Linked DNA regions of Struthio camelus. The protein of the gene in region 2 purifies or fractionates together with the protein of the main gene of each other region. This does not show direct contact. Links are inferred from orthologs where the notes say so. Each region holds a gene or a part of one and is shown on either strand. Other genes may lie near its edges.

Evidence for each region.
Region 1: the proteins of PTGES3 (region 2) and PPP5C purify together in Homo sapiens (affinity purification with mass spectrometry; 5 studies listed by BioGRID and IntAct, with this or other methods). This does not show direct contact. The link is inferred for Struthio camelus from reciprocal best matches to the Homo sapiens genes PTGES3 and PPP5C.

The regions. Positions count from the first base shown.
Region 1 is NC_090957.1:1,971,082-1,978,452, forward strand, and holds the start of PPP5C (serine/threonine-protein phosphatase 5), read right to left. Parts: upstream 3,016-7,371; 5' UTR 2,978-3,015; coding exon 2,869-2,977; intron 1,520-2,868; coding exon 1,278-1,519; intron 1-1,277. UniProt on the Homo sapiens protein: Serine/threonine-protein phosphatase that dephosphorylates a myriad of proteins involved in different signaling pathways including the kinases CSNK1E, ASK1/MAP3K5, PRKDC and RAF1, the nuclear receptors NR3C1, PPARG, ESR1 and ESR2, SMAD proteins and TAU/MAPT.
Region 2 is NC_090969.1:379,040-386,964, reverse strand, and holds the start of PTGES3 (prostaglandin E synthase 3), read right to left. Parts: upstream 3,002-7,925; 5' UTR 2,773-3,001; coding exon 2,771-2,772; intron 1-2,770. Other genes in the region: nascent polypeptide-associated complex subunit alpha, read right to left, coding at 5,035-5,049, 5,459-5,581, 6,356-6,484, 6,816-6,962, 7,501-7,578. UniProt on the Homo sapiens protein: Cytosolic prostaglandin synthase that catalyzes the oxidoreduction of prostaglandin endoperoxide H2 (PGH2) to prostaglandin E2 (PGE2).

The DNA.
Region 1 (7,371 bases), on a different chromosome or scaffold from region 2:
GAAAACCAGTGACACGTGGGAGGGTGACACCGGCTCCCCAAACATGTTCATAAGGACAGGACGGTGCTCCATAGAGTGACGTGGGGTCCTCAAACACGGCTGTAGGGACGCAGTGACACCTCAGAGGACGATGTGGGGTCCCTAAACACGGCCGCGGAGATGTGGTGACACCCCAGAAAATAACATAGGGTCCCTAAACACGGCTGTAGGGACATGGTGACGCCCTAGCGACCAATACAGAGTTCTTAAACAGTTCTAGGGACACGGTGACATCTCAGAGAGTGACATAGGGTCCTTAAACACAGCTCCTGGGGCACAATGACCTCCCCGGAGGACGACACAGGGTCCCTAACCACAGCTGTCAGGATGCAGTGACACCCCAGAGGACGACACAGGGTCCCTAACCACAGCTATAGGGATGCGGTGACACCCCACAGGGTGATGCAGGGTCCCTAACCACAGCTGCAGGGACACGGTGACATCCCACAGGACAACATGGGGTCCCCAAACACAGCTGTAGGGACATGGTGACACCTCGGAGGATGACGCAGGGTACCTAACCACGGTTGTAGGGACGCAATGACAACCCGGAAGACAACGTAGGGTCCCTAAACACGGCTGTCAGGATGCGATGACACCTCAGAGGACGACGCGGGGTGCCTAACCACAGCTATAGGGACAAAGTGACACCTCGGAGGATGACGCACGGTCCCCAAACACAGCTGTAGGGACGCAGTGACACCTCAGAGGACGATGTAGGGTCCCTAACTACGGTTGTAGAGACGCAGTGACACCCCAGAGGACAACATGGGGTCCCTAACCATGGTTGTAGGGATGCAGTGACACCCCAGAGGATGACACGGGGTCCCCAGACACGGCTGTAGGGACGCAGTGACACCTCAAAGGACGACACAGGGTCCCCAAACACGGCTGTAGGCACGCAGTGACACTCTGGAGAACAACATGGGGTCCCTAACTACGGTTGTAGGCACACAGCGACACCTTGGAGGACGACACAGGGTCCCTAACCGTGGTTGTAAGCATGCAGCGACGCCTCAGAGGATGACACGGGGACCCCAAACACAGCTATAGGGAGGCAGTGACACCCCAGAGGACGACATAGGGTCCCTAACCACAGCTGTAGGGACGCAGTGACACCCCAGAGGATGACACGGGGTCCCCAGACACGGCTGGAGGCACGCAGTGACACCCCAGAGGACTACAGCAGCGCTCCCTAAACACAACTGACACCCCGGGGGGCCGGGGCCAGCCCTCACCGTTTCGTAGTCGCGCAGGGCGGCCTTGAACTTGCCCAGGGCCATGTTGCTGGCGGCGCGCCGGTAGTAGCCCTTGACGTAGGCGGCGTCGAGCTCGAGGGCCCGCGTGGCGTCGGCCAGGGCGTAGCCGTAGCTCTCGGCCCGCAGGTGGGCCAGGCTCCGGTTCCCATAGTAGATGGCGTTGGTGGGACACAGCTCGATGGCCTGGCTGTAGTACTTGACCGCGTTCTCGTAGTCCTTCGCTGCGCGACCACCCCCCCCCCGCCGGGGCCTCAGCCGCCGCCCCCGAAAACGGCGGGGAGCGCCCCCAAAAAAGGCGGCGATCCTCCCCGGGAGCCGGCCCCAACGACGGGGAACTCCCCCCACCCCACCACCACCCGAACCGTGGGGAGCCTCCTCCAAACTTGGCTTGAGCCACCCAAATCTGCTGGGATCCAGCCCAAAATCATGGGGATCCCCCTCAAATCTGGCCTGAACCACTCAAATCTGCCAGGATCCAGCCCAAAACCATGGGGATTCCCCTCAAACTTGGCCTGAGCCACCCAAATCTACCAGGATCCAGCCCAAAACCACAGCAATTTACTCTAAACCCAGCCTGAGCTCCCCAAACCCACAGGAATCCACCCCAAAACCATGGGGGTCACCCCCACTCAAAGCCACCCAAACTTGCAAGGATACAGCCCAAAACCACAGGGATTCCCCTCAAACCCAGCCTGGAGCCACCCAAATCTGCCAGGATCCAGCCCAAAACCATGGGGACCTCCAAACCCACAGGAATCCCCCCCAAATCATGGGGGTCACCCCCACCCAAAACCAGCCTGAGCCACCCAAACCTGCAGGGATTCAGCCCAAAACCCCAGGGATCCCCCTCAAACCCAGCCTGAGCCCCCCAAACCCACAGCGATCCACCCCAAAACCCTGGGGATCCCCCTCCCCCAAACCACCTTGACCACCCCAAACCCCGAGGGACCCCCAAAACCTCCAGGAATCGCCCCAAAACCCAGCCTGAACACATCCCCCCCTATTTGGCAGCAGGTCGCACCCCTAATTGCCCCTCCATGGCTCCCTATCTGGCAGCAGCCCCCTCCCCGATCCCCCCATCATGGCTCTCTATCTGGCACTTCCCTCAGCTCCCTATTTGGCAGCCCCCCCGGCTCCCTATGTGGCACCCCTTCCCCTGTACCCTTCCCACATGGCTCCTTATCTGGCACCTCTTCCCCCCTGCTCCAGCCCCCTATTTGTCCCCTCTCATCCCCCCCCCCCACCATGGCTCCCTATCTGGCACGCCCATGCCCCCCCCCGCTCCCCATGTGGCACCCCCTCCCCATATCCCCTCACGTAGCTCCCTATCTGGCACCCCTCATGTCCCCCCTCCCCCCGGCTCCCTATCTGGCAGCCCCTTCCCTATGCTCCCCCTCATGGCTCCCTATCTGGCACCCCCCATACCCGCCCCGACCTAGCTCCCTATTTGGCAGCCCCTTCCCTATGTCCTCCCTCCATGGCTCCCTATCTGGCACCCCCTCCCCTCCGTCCCCCCCCACATGGCTCCCTCTCCGGCACCCCGCCGGCCCCCCCGGGGGGCAGCCGCTACCTTTGAAGTACTCGTTGGCCCGCGCCTTCAGCGCCTCGGCCCGCTCCAGCGCGCCGGGGCTCGGGGGCCGCCCGGGGCCACCGCTCTCCGCCCGCTCCCCCTCCGCCATGGCCGCGCCGTAAAGCGCCCCTTAGCAACGCCGCGACCCCGCCGCCGCCGCCCCGCGCCGCCGCCCGCTGTCGCAAAAGCGGCGCGAGGGGAGGGGAGGGGAGGAGGGGGCGGGGCCGCGCCGAGGCGCGCGGCGAAGGCGTCGCTGGGGGGGGCGGGGCCGCCGCTCGCCATAGAGCGGCGCCAAGAGGGGCCAGAGCGGCCAGGCCCGCGGCCTAGAGCGGCTGCTCGCTATAGAGCGGCGTCAAGAGGGGCCAGAGCGGCCAGGTTACAGCCGCCGCTCGCCATAGAGCGGCGCCAAGAGGGGCCAGAGCGGCCAGGCCTGCGGCCTAGGGCTGTGGCAGGGGGTGGGGCTGCCGCCCACCATAGAGCGGCACCAAGAGTGGCTAGAGCGGCCAGGCCCGCGGCCTAGAGCCGCTGCTCACCATAGAGTAGCGCCAAGAGGAGCCAGAGTGGCCAGGCCTGCAACCTAGGGCAGCCGTGGTGGGAGGGGGGGAAATGGGGTCACCACCCACCATAGAGTGGCACCAAGAGGGACCAGAGCAGCCAGGCCCACAATGGGGGGGGGAAATGGAGCCACTGCCCACCATAGAGCAGTAAGAAAAGGGGACAGAGCGGCTATGTCTGCAGTGGGGGGGGGGGGGAATGGGGCTGCTGCCCGCCATAGAGTGGCAACAAGAGGGGCCAGAGCAGCCAGGCCTGTGGCAGGTTGGCCCCCCCCCAGGCTTACCATAGAATGGCAAGAAGAGGGGCCAGAGCGGCCATGCCCATGGCCTAGGGCCACCATGGGGCCTCTGAGCACCTGCAGCGCCGTGTGGCTCCTCCTGTGTCCCCTGCTGTCCCCCCGGCGTGTCCCCCGACCCGCGTGTCCCCCCCACCTGTGCGTCCCCCCCGCCGCGTACCAGAGGCCGAGCCATTGCGTTGCCAGAGCGGTTTATGGCGCGAGCGAGCGGCAGGTACAGGCGGCCGCGGCTCCGCCTACAGCCGGAGACAGGCGGCTGGGGGTCCTCGGGGCGTCCCGTGCGCGGGGGCATGCAACCTGGCCCGGGTCTCCGTGTTGTGTGCGCACGTGTGTCCCCGCGTCCCGTCCGCCTGTGCGGGGGTTGGAGGGGGGAGGGAGGGGGTTCGCGTAGCGGCGGGTGTGCACAAGCGCGTGCGAGGCAGGCGGGGAGGCGCCGGGCGTGCGAGCGGCACACGAGGGCGCCCCGGGCTGTGCGTGTGGGTGCAGCGGCGGGGCCGGAGCCCCCAGCCTCCTGCCACGCCGGGGCCCCCTGGGGTGGGGGGGTGGTTGCACGAGGGGGGCTCTCGCACGAGGGGTGGGCTCTCGCACGAGGAGGGGCTCGCACAAGCACTGAAGTCTCGCGCAAGTCGGTCTTGCATGAGGGCCGGGCTCCCATATGAAGGGGTCTCGCACGAGGGCCAGTCTCTTGCACGAGGGCTCGACTCTTGCACAAGTGGGGTTCACGTGAGGGCCAGGCTCTCGCACGAGGGGGTTCTCAGATGATGGGTGGACTCTTGCACGAGGAGGGACTCGCCCGAGGGCTGAACTTTCGCACGAGGGCATCTCGCATGAGGACCACGCTCTCACACGAGGGGGGCTCACATGAGGGCCAGGTTCTCGCACGACAGCCGGACTCTCGCACGACGGCCAGATTCTCGCACAAAGGGGTCTCACAAAATGGGTGAACTCTCGCACGAGGGGGTCTTGCACGAGGGCTGCACTCTTGTACAAGAGGGGCTTGCATGATGGGCGGACTCTTACACGAGGGGGTTTCGCACGACGGCTGCAATCTTGCACGAGGAGGGACTCACACAAGGGCCGGACTCTCGCACGAGGGCAGACGTCTCCCGGCAGGTAGCGGGGAGGGCTCATTCGCGCCATGGCAGCTGACTCGCACGAGGGCAGGCGCTTGCACTAGGGTGGCGGGCGCGAAGGGAGTCGTCGTGCCCTAGGCCACGGGGCTCCCCCGGAGGGGGTTCTTGCACGAGGCCCTCGCACGAGGGTGAGGATCTTGCGGTGGCGAGGGGGCAGCTCTCACACAAGGCTCTTGCATGAGGATGGCGATCGTGCATAGCCGTAGCACCAGGGTTGAGGGGGGAGGTTTCATGACACTCTCGCCCCAGGGGTGGGTCTTCTGGGCAGTTTTGCACGAGGACAGCCATCTTGCACGAGGGCAGCCATCTTGCACAAGGGTGGCTCTCGCATGTGGTCCTCATACAACGGGCTCTTGCATGAGGCTCTGGCACGAGGTGGGAGCTCTTGCCCGAGGCGCTTGCACTGGGGAGGGGGGAGCTCTCGCACGAGGGCAGCTGGCACAGGAAGGGGCGGCTCTTGCACGAGGCTTTTGCACGAGGGAAATGATCTTGCATGAGGGCATCTCTCGCCTGGGGCTCTCACACGAGGACTGTGATCTTGCACCCGGGCAGCTCTTGCACGAGGGCATCCTTCGCAGGAGGAACGTGCTCTCGCATGAGGATCTCTCACACGAGGCTCTCACACGAGGGCCGTGATCTTGCACAAGGGCGTCTCTTGCACGAGGCTCTAGCATAAGGACCATGCTCTCGCACGAGGGCGTCTCTCTCATGAGGCTCTTGCACGAGGACGGTGCTCGTGCGTGGCCGTAGCACCAGGGTTGAGGGGGGAGGCTTCACAAGACTCTCACCCCAGGGGTGGGTCTTCCGGGCGGTTCTTGCATGAGGGTGGCCATCTTGCACGAGGGCAGCCATCTTGCACGAGGGCGGCTCTCACACATGGTCCTCATACAACGGGCTCTTGCCCGAGGCTCTTGCACCAGTGAGGGGGAGCTCTCGCACGAGGGCAGCTGGCACAGGAAGGGGGGGCTCTTGCACAAGGCTTTCACACGAGGGAAGTGATCTTGTGCGAGGGCGGCTCTCGCCAGGGGCTCTCGCACGAGGGCCGTGATCTTGCACCCGGGCAGCTCTTGCACGAGGGTGTCCTTCGCAGGAGGACTATGCTCTTGCATCAGGGTGTCTCTCGCACAAAGCTCTCACACAAGGGCCGTGATCTTGCACAAGGGCATCTCTCATTTGAGGCTCTAGCACGAGGACCGTGCTCTCGCATCAGGGCGGCTCTTGCACGAAGCTTTTACACAAGGACTGTGATCTTGCACGTGGGCGTCTCTCACCCGAGGCTTTTGCACGAGGGCCATGCTCTCGCATGAGGGTGGCTCTCACCCGAGGCTCTCGCACGAGGGCTGAGATCTTGCACGAGGGCATCCCTTGCCTGAGGCTTTTGCAGGAGGACCGTGCTCTCGCATGAGGGTGTCTGTTGCACGAAGCTCTCGCACGAGGACCATGCTCTTGCACGAGGGCGTCTCTCGCCCGAGGCTTTCACACGAGGGCCATGATCTCACTTGAGGGCGGCTCTTGCACGTGGCTCTCGCACAAGGGCCGTGATCTTGCACGAGGGCGTCCTTCGCACGAGGGCCCCACGCCGGGGAGTTGGGGGGAAGCCGGTATAAAAGGGGATCATACGAAAGAGGAGTATAAAAGTGGGGGGGGGTGCCCGGGGTTTGGGAGAGGGGGGGCCCGGGTGGTCCCGGATGGGGATGGGGGGGTCGGGGACCCCCCCAGGGTGGGTGTTTTTTTTGGGGGGGGGGCCGGGCCCCCTTCAGGGCCCCAGGGCGAAGCCCCCCCCCGGGAGGCCTTCGGCGGCGGCTTCCTCGTCCTCGGCGGTGGCCGGGGGGGGCCCCGGCAGCCCTGCAGGGCCGCCGTCAGCGGACCCCCAAAATCAGGGACCCCCCCAACTGGGGACACCCCCCTTCCCTGAGTTGGGACCTACCCCCCAAAAAACCAGACCGCCCCCCCCCCCAGATCAGGGAGCCCTTCAAAACAGGGACCACTCCCCTAAAATCATGTACCCCCTCCACTAGGGACCTCTCCCCCAAAATCAGGGACCCCCCCCAAAACTGGGAATCCCCCCAGGGACCCCCCCCAAAACCAGGGACCCCCTTGAACTGCAAACCCCCAGGGACCCCCCCCCCAAAACCAGGGATCCCCCTAAACCGAGAACCTCCTCCAGGAGCCCCCCAGATAGGCCCCTCCCAAATCCAGGGACCCCCAAACTGGGCTCCCCAGGGACCCCCCCAAAACAAGGACCTCCCCCAAACCAGGAAGTCCCCCAAAACCACAGAACCCTCCCAAATTGGGGAACCCCCCCCGAGACTTCCCCAAAATCAGAGACCCCCCCAAACCAGGAACACCCCCTGGGGACCCCCCAAAACAGGGACCTTCCCCAAACCGAGAAGTCCCCCAAAACCACAGAACCCCCCAAATTGGGGAACCCCCCCAGAAACTCCCCCAAACTGGGACCCCCTCCAGGGACCCGCCACAGGCCCCCCTGGACGGGCCCCCCCCAAACCGGGGCCCCCCCCC
Region 2 (7,925 bases):
AAATCTTAATGAACTGCCCTAGAGCTGAAGGAATCTCACATGCATCTCTGCTACAGAAAGAAGCAACAGAGACCAAAGAAAGTGTACCAGAATCATAATTCATGCTTACAACACTAAACATATGCTGCCTCCCTAAATATTTGGTACTTCCCACTTTAAACATGCCTACTGTATCACATTGAAACTATGCACAAGTCTCACAGAAACCAGCTGCCTTTTTTTTTTTTTTAAATTAAATCTTCCATCCACTACCTCTCAAAGAGGTAACGGAAACCTTCCTTTTGGCCCTTTGGCCCTCTCATGAGAGGCTGGTAGCCGTGATTTCATCATTCTAATGTATCCTGCATTGTTGTTTTAAACTACCGGCAAAAATTTTGGATGCGACCTAACGCTGTCTTATCTAATTCGTACTGCATGCCTACATTTTGAGACTCCTAGGAGACAAAAGGACACACAAAAGCCAATGGTAAGATGCGCACGTGCTCTGAGCACTTAAGAAACATGGCTCCCCTACACCCACACTAAACCATGATCTATTTTCTTACAGGCTCTGAGAAACAGTATCAAAGACTTCTAAGCATAGTCATTTGTTGCACTGAGAGCCTAACACCTCCTCCTCCTCTCTCAACTAAAGTAATCCCAGGGGACCAGACTATATTAATTTAACATTACTTCAGCCTTATGTCAACAGCGTCGTCAACTTGAGCATGTGCTTGAGATATGCCTTATCCTCAAGTCCTAATGGGATTTAGATCTGTATGAAACATAAATTAAACACGTTATATCCCATGTAGCAACAAAACACATCTCAAATAGCTTTAAAAGCAGAGTTTTTCTGGCCTTGCACTACCACCTGGGCCATACAGGTCGCCTGCATTTCACATTCTGCAAAGATTCCTTTTTTTCAAAGCCTTGCTTGCCACCATGTGCATGTTTTGACAGCTTCCTGAACAGATACGGCCACTCTGCATCAGTTTTAAACTAACATTTCTAGTCTTTTTCTAATTGTTTTCAGAAGACAAGATGACAATAGCATGCCTGTTAAGCAGGCACGCTTAGCCTGGGTAAATTCCAAGATGAAAATAGCAACATAATGCTTGCCCTGCAACTCCCCTACTTATCAGTAGGCATTTTTATTAAAATATATTATATACTGCAACTGAAGACTGCACTTTATCGTGCAGCTAAGAATTCCTGTGAAATCAATTCTAGAAACCACATTACAGCAGTTTCCCTCTGATGGGAGACCTGCAAGCTTGACTTTCTCTATGAGATCACGCTGGATAATCACTGTGGCTCTGCAGCAGGCTACCCAGAACTCTAAAGGCTGCAGTTTGGTGCAGACATCCAGGTTCTTCTACTTAAAGAAAGCCATAGTAGTTTCCTCAAGTTTCTTATATCCAGTATCTACAAGCTGAATCTCAAGTCTTATTGTTTGCTATGTGGTACGATTCAAGAAGTTCCCACTTTCAATCCCTAATCCAAACCTGTCCCTGTGCTTTCTTTCTTGATCACTCCTTGGTTTACCTATGGAAAGTTTAGCTTTCTTTAATGGAAAGTAGAAAGTATTCTAACAATTCTTACATCTCTAGAGACCGCAACGTTTGAGGACACTGCAAAAGTCATCTGTTGAATAAGATTTTTTTGCCCCCAGACATGATTATGAGGAAAAAACATTCAGGTCTATGGACAGCAATGAGAAGTTTGCTTTACATAATTAATCTTGATTTTTATTTTTTAACACCTTCAGGCTATAAAGCTAGACAATTCTAAGCCAGATGCAGTAATACTGTTGTTTCAAGATGATGTATTCTTGAGACTTTAAACAAAATCCACGTTATTACATTCCTCTCACTTTCAATCACGTTAAGCTGAAGAAGCTCAAAATGCAGAGTTTCGGGACAGCTGCACAGAAGTAAATGCCTTACCGGTGCCAGAGGGCAAAACCCAACTAGCCATGCAGGTCGTTTTCCTGAGTAGCTGTTCACGGGTTTTCCTCACTACTTGAGAAAGCAGTTACCATCCTCAGGCATTTAAGTCAATACAGAGTTTTAAGAGAACTTTAAGTTTTCAGCAAATAAAGCTCCTGTTAACTTCAGTGGGTAGTTTTCCTTCAGATTTTGCTCTGAAGGGCCAGCAGCACACGATCGTTATGAATACGCTGCAAAGTTTCGCTACTCTTCCACTTGCATTGCCAGAGAACAGCGATGCCAACTGTAACTACGTTGCAAAGAGCATGCCCTGGTTTCGGGTCAGCGAAGCAGCCTCGACAGTTACAACGAAGCCGGCTAATCAGGACTCCCCAGCGTGCCACAAGCGTTCTTGTAACGTCAGAGCACTTCAGGCTTCCGCGGAGCCGCCAGGGCGCACAGGAGGCCGCACGGGAGCCGGCGGGAGAGGAAATCCGGCCGGCCACCTCCTGCCCTTGGCTCCGGCCCCCGCGCCGCCTGCTCGCGGCGGACCGCTCCCGGGGCCCCGCCGCTCCCCTGCGCCCACCGCCGGCCCCTACCGGGAGCCGCAGCCGAGGCGCCGGCCGGGGCAGGGCCGCAGGCCCCGCCGCCCCACGCGGCCCCATTCATTGCCCGCCCGCCAGGGCCCCCCCCGGCGCCGCCAGCGGCAGCGGGCGCCCCCCGGGCCGCCGCCGCCGCCACAAGGTCACCACGCGCCGCCGCCCCCCCCCCGCCTCGGCAGGGCCGAGCGGGCCCGGCCGCCGCGGCAGAGCGCCCCGCCGCCGCCGCCTTCCCCCCGCCCCCCCGCTGCCCGGCCTCACATGGCGAACGGCGGCGGCTCCGCTGGCGCTCCTCGGGGCCCGGCGGCGGGCGGCGGCGGCACGGCGCGGGCGGCAAGGGCCGTGGCGGCGGCGAGGGCGCGGCGGCGGCGGCTCCTGGGGCTCGGCGCGGCCTCGCTCCCACAATGCCCCGCGCGCGCACTCCGGCAACGGCGGCGCCCAGGCGCTGGTGACGCAGCAAAATACCCGCCGCGCCGCGCCCGCCTCCCGCCTCCCGCCTCCCGCCTCCCGCCTCCCGCCGCCGCGCATGCGCGGGCCCCGCCGCCGCCGCCCGCGCCCCGCTCCCTCCTCCCTTCTAGCAGCTTCTCGGCGCGCAGGCGCGCTGCGGGCCCGCCCGAGGTGGGAGGAGGAGGGGGCGGGGCCGGCGTTGCCAGGGCGACGGGCGGCCGGGCCCGGCGGCCGCGCAGCCCACGCGTGGCGGCGGCGGCGCGCCGCCGTTTCCCGTCGCTCGGGCGGCTACCGCGGCTTGAGGGCCACCGCAGGCAGCAAACTCGCGGCCACCAGAGCTGCCTCGCCCCGCGCCGGGCCGGGCGGAGGACGCCCGGGGGAGCGGGGGTCGCCGAGGCCTGGCCCCCCGCAGGCCCCTCTGCGGCCTCCGAGTGCCACCTCCGGGGCTCGAAGCGGCTTTGAACTCCCATCGCCGCTCCCTGGGCCAGTGGCTCTCCGGCCTCTCCGTTAAAACTGCTGAAGGCGGCTCCCCGAGCCGCTCCTCCGATCGGTGTTCCTCAAGCGCGGCGGCTGCATCCGTCCCTCGCGGGCCCGGTGCCGGTGCCTCCTCCGAGGCTCCGGCCGGAGCTGGAGCCCTGCCGGCGCGTGCTGCCGGGGGCAGCTGCGACCGAGCGAAGCATCGCGCGATATTCGCCAGCGTTCAGGCACCGGGGAACCGCACGGAAGGGTAACGAAGGGCTTCTGGCTAGCGAACCTCCTGCTTATTTCATCTGGGGCTTCGTGCTGGCTGCCCGTACGGTGAGGTCGCCAATCAGCTTTAATGAGCTGTTCCAAGGCCCAGATTTTACTGCACAAGGGAGAAAGAAATGCTGCTAAGTGGCAGCAAGATGCCCATTTTCACAGCTCAGCCTCTGCATTTCATGAGACTTGGGGCTTTAGGTGGGTAAATGTCAGCTCGCTTCCCACCCGTCGAGTGCTGAAAGACTCCCTCTGCACGCAAACAACTTTCTGGGTAAGCACAGCCTTCCCTGCAGGCCTGGAGAGCAGGAGAAAAAACAATCAAAGCTCAGCCCCTTCTACTGCTCTGCTGTGCTGTACCACTCAAATTCCAGCAAAGTGGCACTTCAAAAACGGTAGGACTTATTGTTTGTTGACGCTCGGCCCACCAGGGCCCCAGCCTGGCTGATGCCATCGGGCAACGCGCTGTGAACGCGAACAACCAACAACGTGGGCAGGCAATCATCTCTGCTGGGGTGGGCGGCACAGCAAGGCGGTCGGTAAGGAGCCGCTGCCAAGGAAGACAGGTCTACGGCAGCAGAGGGAAGAAAGGGAAGCTGTCAGCGCCAAAGCAGCCATCTCCCATGACTTCTGGGCACCTCTAGCTGTTGCAAAGCTCTGGGTTCAAGAACCTGGATGAGTCTTGACCTTCTCTCAAATCAGGCTGGAAGACATGACGAGATAAACTAATCCATCCCTGTCCCATGGCTGCACTGAATTAAATGAGAAGAACCCCCTTTTCACTATTCTGCAGATCATTTCTTTTTCTTTAAAACCATTGTGGTTTCCTGGGCTGAGATAGAGACTCGCTACTGGGAGCATCACAGCTGCGCTCTCACAGAAGAGCACCGTCCGGAACGCTCCTGGGTGATGCGACACCCTTCAGCAGACGTCTCACCTGTAGATTTGAGACCTCCCGCTAGCTTCAGAGGGAGACGGTCTGTGCTAAGATCAGCGTCCCAGGCACACGTTGAAGTCGGAGGCCTTGGCTGGCCTTCCTGGGGCTCCCAGCCAGCCGACCTTTGGCGACAGGAAGGAAATGAGGGAACGAGCAGGTGTTCTTCCTCTACGGTGTAACAGGACAGAGAATATCAGGTTTTGAGATCTTCCCAGGATGAAGGCTCCACCCTGGGGCCTCAGCTACCAGGGAGGGAAAGGCAGCAAAGCCAAAAAAGAACAAAAAATGTTTCACCAACAATAAGCCACAACTTTTATTAATTGATAGAAATAGTACAAATTTTAAATGTAGTTGCATTTTACTCTTCTCTGAAACACCAAAAAAGGCTCCTCCCTCCTGACGGCTACATCGTCAATTCCTGCAAAGAGAAAGACCTGTTAGGATCCAGCCTTGCCCACCGGCACAGAAGCCTGGCTCCGGACACGTGGAGTACTCCTTAGGGAAGACAAGCCTCTGCGGCTCGTCTGCCCAGCAAGGCCCGGGACAGGTCATTTCGCTTCCTGGCCTTCCAGCTGGGAGCAAGCTACTGTGCCAGAGTGTGGAGGTACCTGATATCCCAAACAGATACATGGGGTGCAGACGGAAGGAAACAAAGTCCCTCCACTTTGCATCACGTGACCCCCAAATTCATCCCCTACTTGCAGCAACAGAGAAACAAGCACCACATGTCTCCTCCACAGGGAAGTTTCATTTCTAACCGCTATGGGTCTTCCCAGGCTCAAGGCTCGCTTGACTGGCTGGAAATGCCACTGCAGGCAGGCACTTACCATTATAGCATTTACAATATCGTTACTGTTGTTCTTCAGGGCACGGACTGCCTTTGCTCGGGACACGTTCGCCTGGGACATGACCAGCTCAATATCTTTCACCTCAACGCCGGTTTCGTCAACCTGAGGAGACAGAGACCAGGATTGTCTCCAGCTGAACACACGGCCTGCTCCACGCCCAGCAAAGAAAAACGGAATTGTCTGGATTGGGGCAGCTCCCAGTCAAGCCAAAGACAGAAGCTGGGATGCAAGACTGGGCGCTATCTAGCCCTGTAGACAGTCTTCTGATAGCGAATGGGACCAGGTCCTCCAGGGGAAGGACCCTGCACTTCCTTTTGTCATCAAGCCAAACATTCAGAGGCGGGAAAGAAAAGCATGTGTCATAACGCAAAGCTCTAGATGTGACACAGAGTGGCAGGGAAGGGGGCTCGGGCAGAAAGAGTAGCTGATACGGCAATCCTGTAAGAGCAAAAGCAACAGGCAGGGGAGGAAGGGTCTTCGGAGAGCAGAGCTACGATCCATGCAGCAAAGGCAGAGCACAACAGCCTGGTAGGGAACTGCCCTGGTGGAGGGTGAATCCAGCTCTTGCTCTTTAGAGCTCTCTGGACCACCTCCAGCCCAGGCCGAGGCGATACACGGGTCAAGCAGACAAATGACCACACCGAGGTTACAGCCTGGGAACCCCCACCCTGGCCAGGGCTGCCAGGCAGGCGGCGTGGCGTGGCGTGGCGCGGCACACCGTGGGGAGGGAGAACCCCTCGGAGCAGCACGCTCCACTTAGCATGAATGCACATTAACACAATGAGGCCCTTCAGCTCAGTGGCCGGGTTTCGCATTTTGGTTCAATTCCCAAACAAAGCACCCTGCCTCGCTGCAGACAGCCTGGGGAAGGCATACCTCTTCCTCCTCGCTCTCCTCCTGCACGGTGGGGGTCTGTGTGTTTTCCTGGATGTTTGAAACAGCTTCTCCTTGCACTTTGAACTTTTCGGCAGCTGCCAGCTGGGCCTGCTGGGACAGGTCCTCGATCTGGGGAAGAGAAGCAGCACAAGTGAGGCCAGCCCTACGCAGAGTGGGATGTCAGCACACAGGCTCAGACAGTCACAGCTGTGTTCCTCACTCTGCTGAGGTGCCAGCACATTAAATAGCTCTGTTGCACAACCGAGCTGGGAAGCCAGCCGTCAGTGAAGGCTGGGGCCTGCCCACACCTCTCTAGGGGCATGCGCAGCAGCAGGGATCCAGCCAGTTGCAGCCAGTGTTTGCAGGTGACAAGGATGAACCCTGCTACCTCAGAGCTGCCACCCCGCTGCTGTGAATACAGATTAACATGGCTGCCAGGCACGACGTAGAGTCAACACACCTTCGCTTCGCCGAAGACGATGTAGGTGTCTGACGCTGGGCTCTTGTACACGTCTGGCTTTGTGATGACAAAGAGGATGTTCTTAGATTTCCGAATGGTGACTCTGGTTACTCCTGTGACCTGGCGAAGGCCCAGTTTAGACATTGCCTTAAAAAAAAAAAAAAGAGAGAAAAAAGAATGAGAGAAAGAAAAGTTAGTGAGACGGCCCAGCCCAGGACAAGATGCGCATGCTCATCTGCTCTCTGGAGATCAGGGTCCAACAATTGGTGCGCTCATGTGAATGAAAATGTGCATTTTACTGCTGCAGACAAGCATTCAAAGGCTTTTAGACTGACACTGCTGAGTGCCCGGGAGGGAACTTTCTATTCCCAGCACTGGCACAGATCCACAGCATGACCTCGAGCCACTCCAGGCACAAGGATTTTTTTCCCGTGGAAGGGGGGCATTCCCCTGCCTGGGGGCCTGACCAAGACAGAAAATCACACCATCATTTCTCAGCTCCAGAAAGCCCTGCTGCTATAGTACAAGGGTAGAGCATGAGGAGGAGCAATCCTGAGCAGGGTTCATCAGATGAACTCCCAAGCACTCAAGAGATACTGTGCCACATTCTGAAGTAAAGCTCAGCTCATCCATGGGCAGGCTGTTGGCTGTATATGGATTTGGTCCCTTTCCCATCCCATCTTACCTTTCGTGCTTTCTTTTCACTCCGACTCTGTTTTGCTTTGCTAACGGGTTCTTCATCTATTTCAGCTGCTGCTGCAAGCTGCAAGGACAGAAAACAAGAGGGCCCTTAGACAGCTCTGAGCAGGTGATGCATGTAGCAGATGACAGCATCTGAGGGGATCCTGCTTTGGCCACTGCTGGGCACAGGGAGACCAATGGGACCTGTTCTCTGACCAACAGCGAGGCAAGGAAAAATAGAAATAGAAGAATAGTCCTTTCTGTGAAGGCTCTCCAACCACCATTCCCTGGTGTGAGCTACTCAAGATGGGGGTGGCCTGAGGGACCCTCAGGTGATTCTGAGGAGCAATTTCCCAGAAGGGCATCCCCCTGCACACGTTATGCCCACCAAAATCCACTGCTGAGCTTGGGGAGTTGCACTCCCAGAGA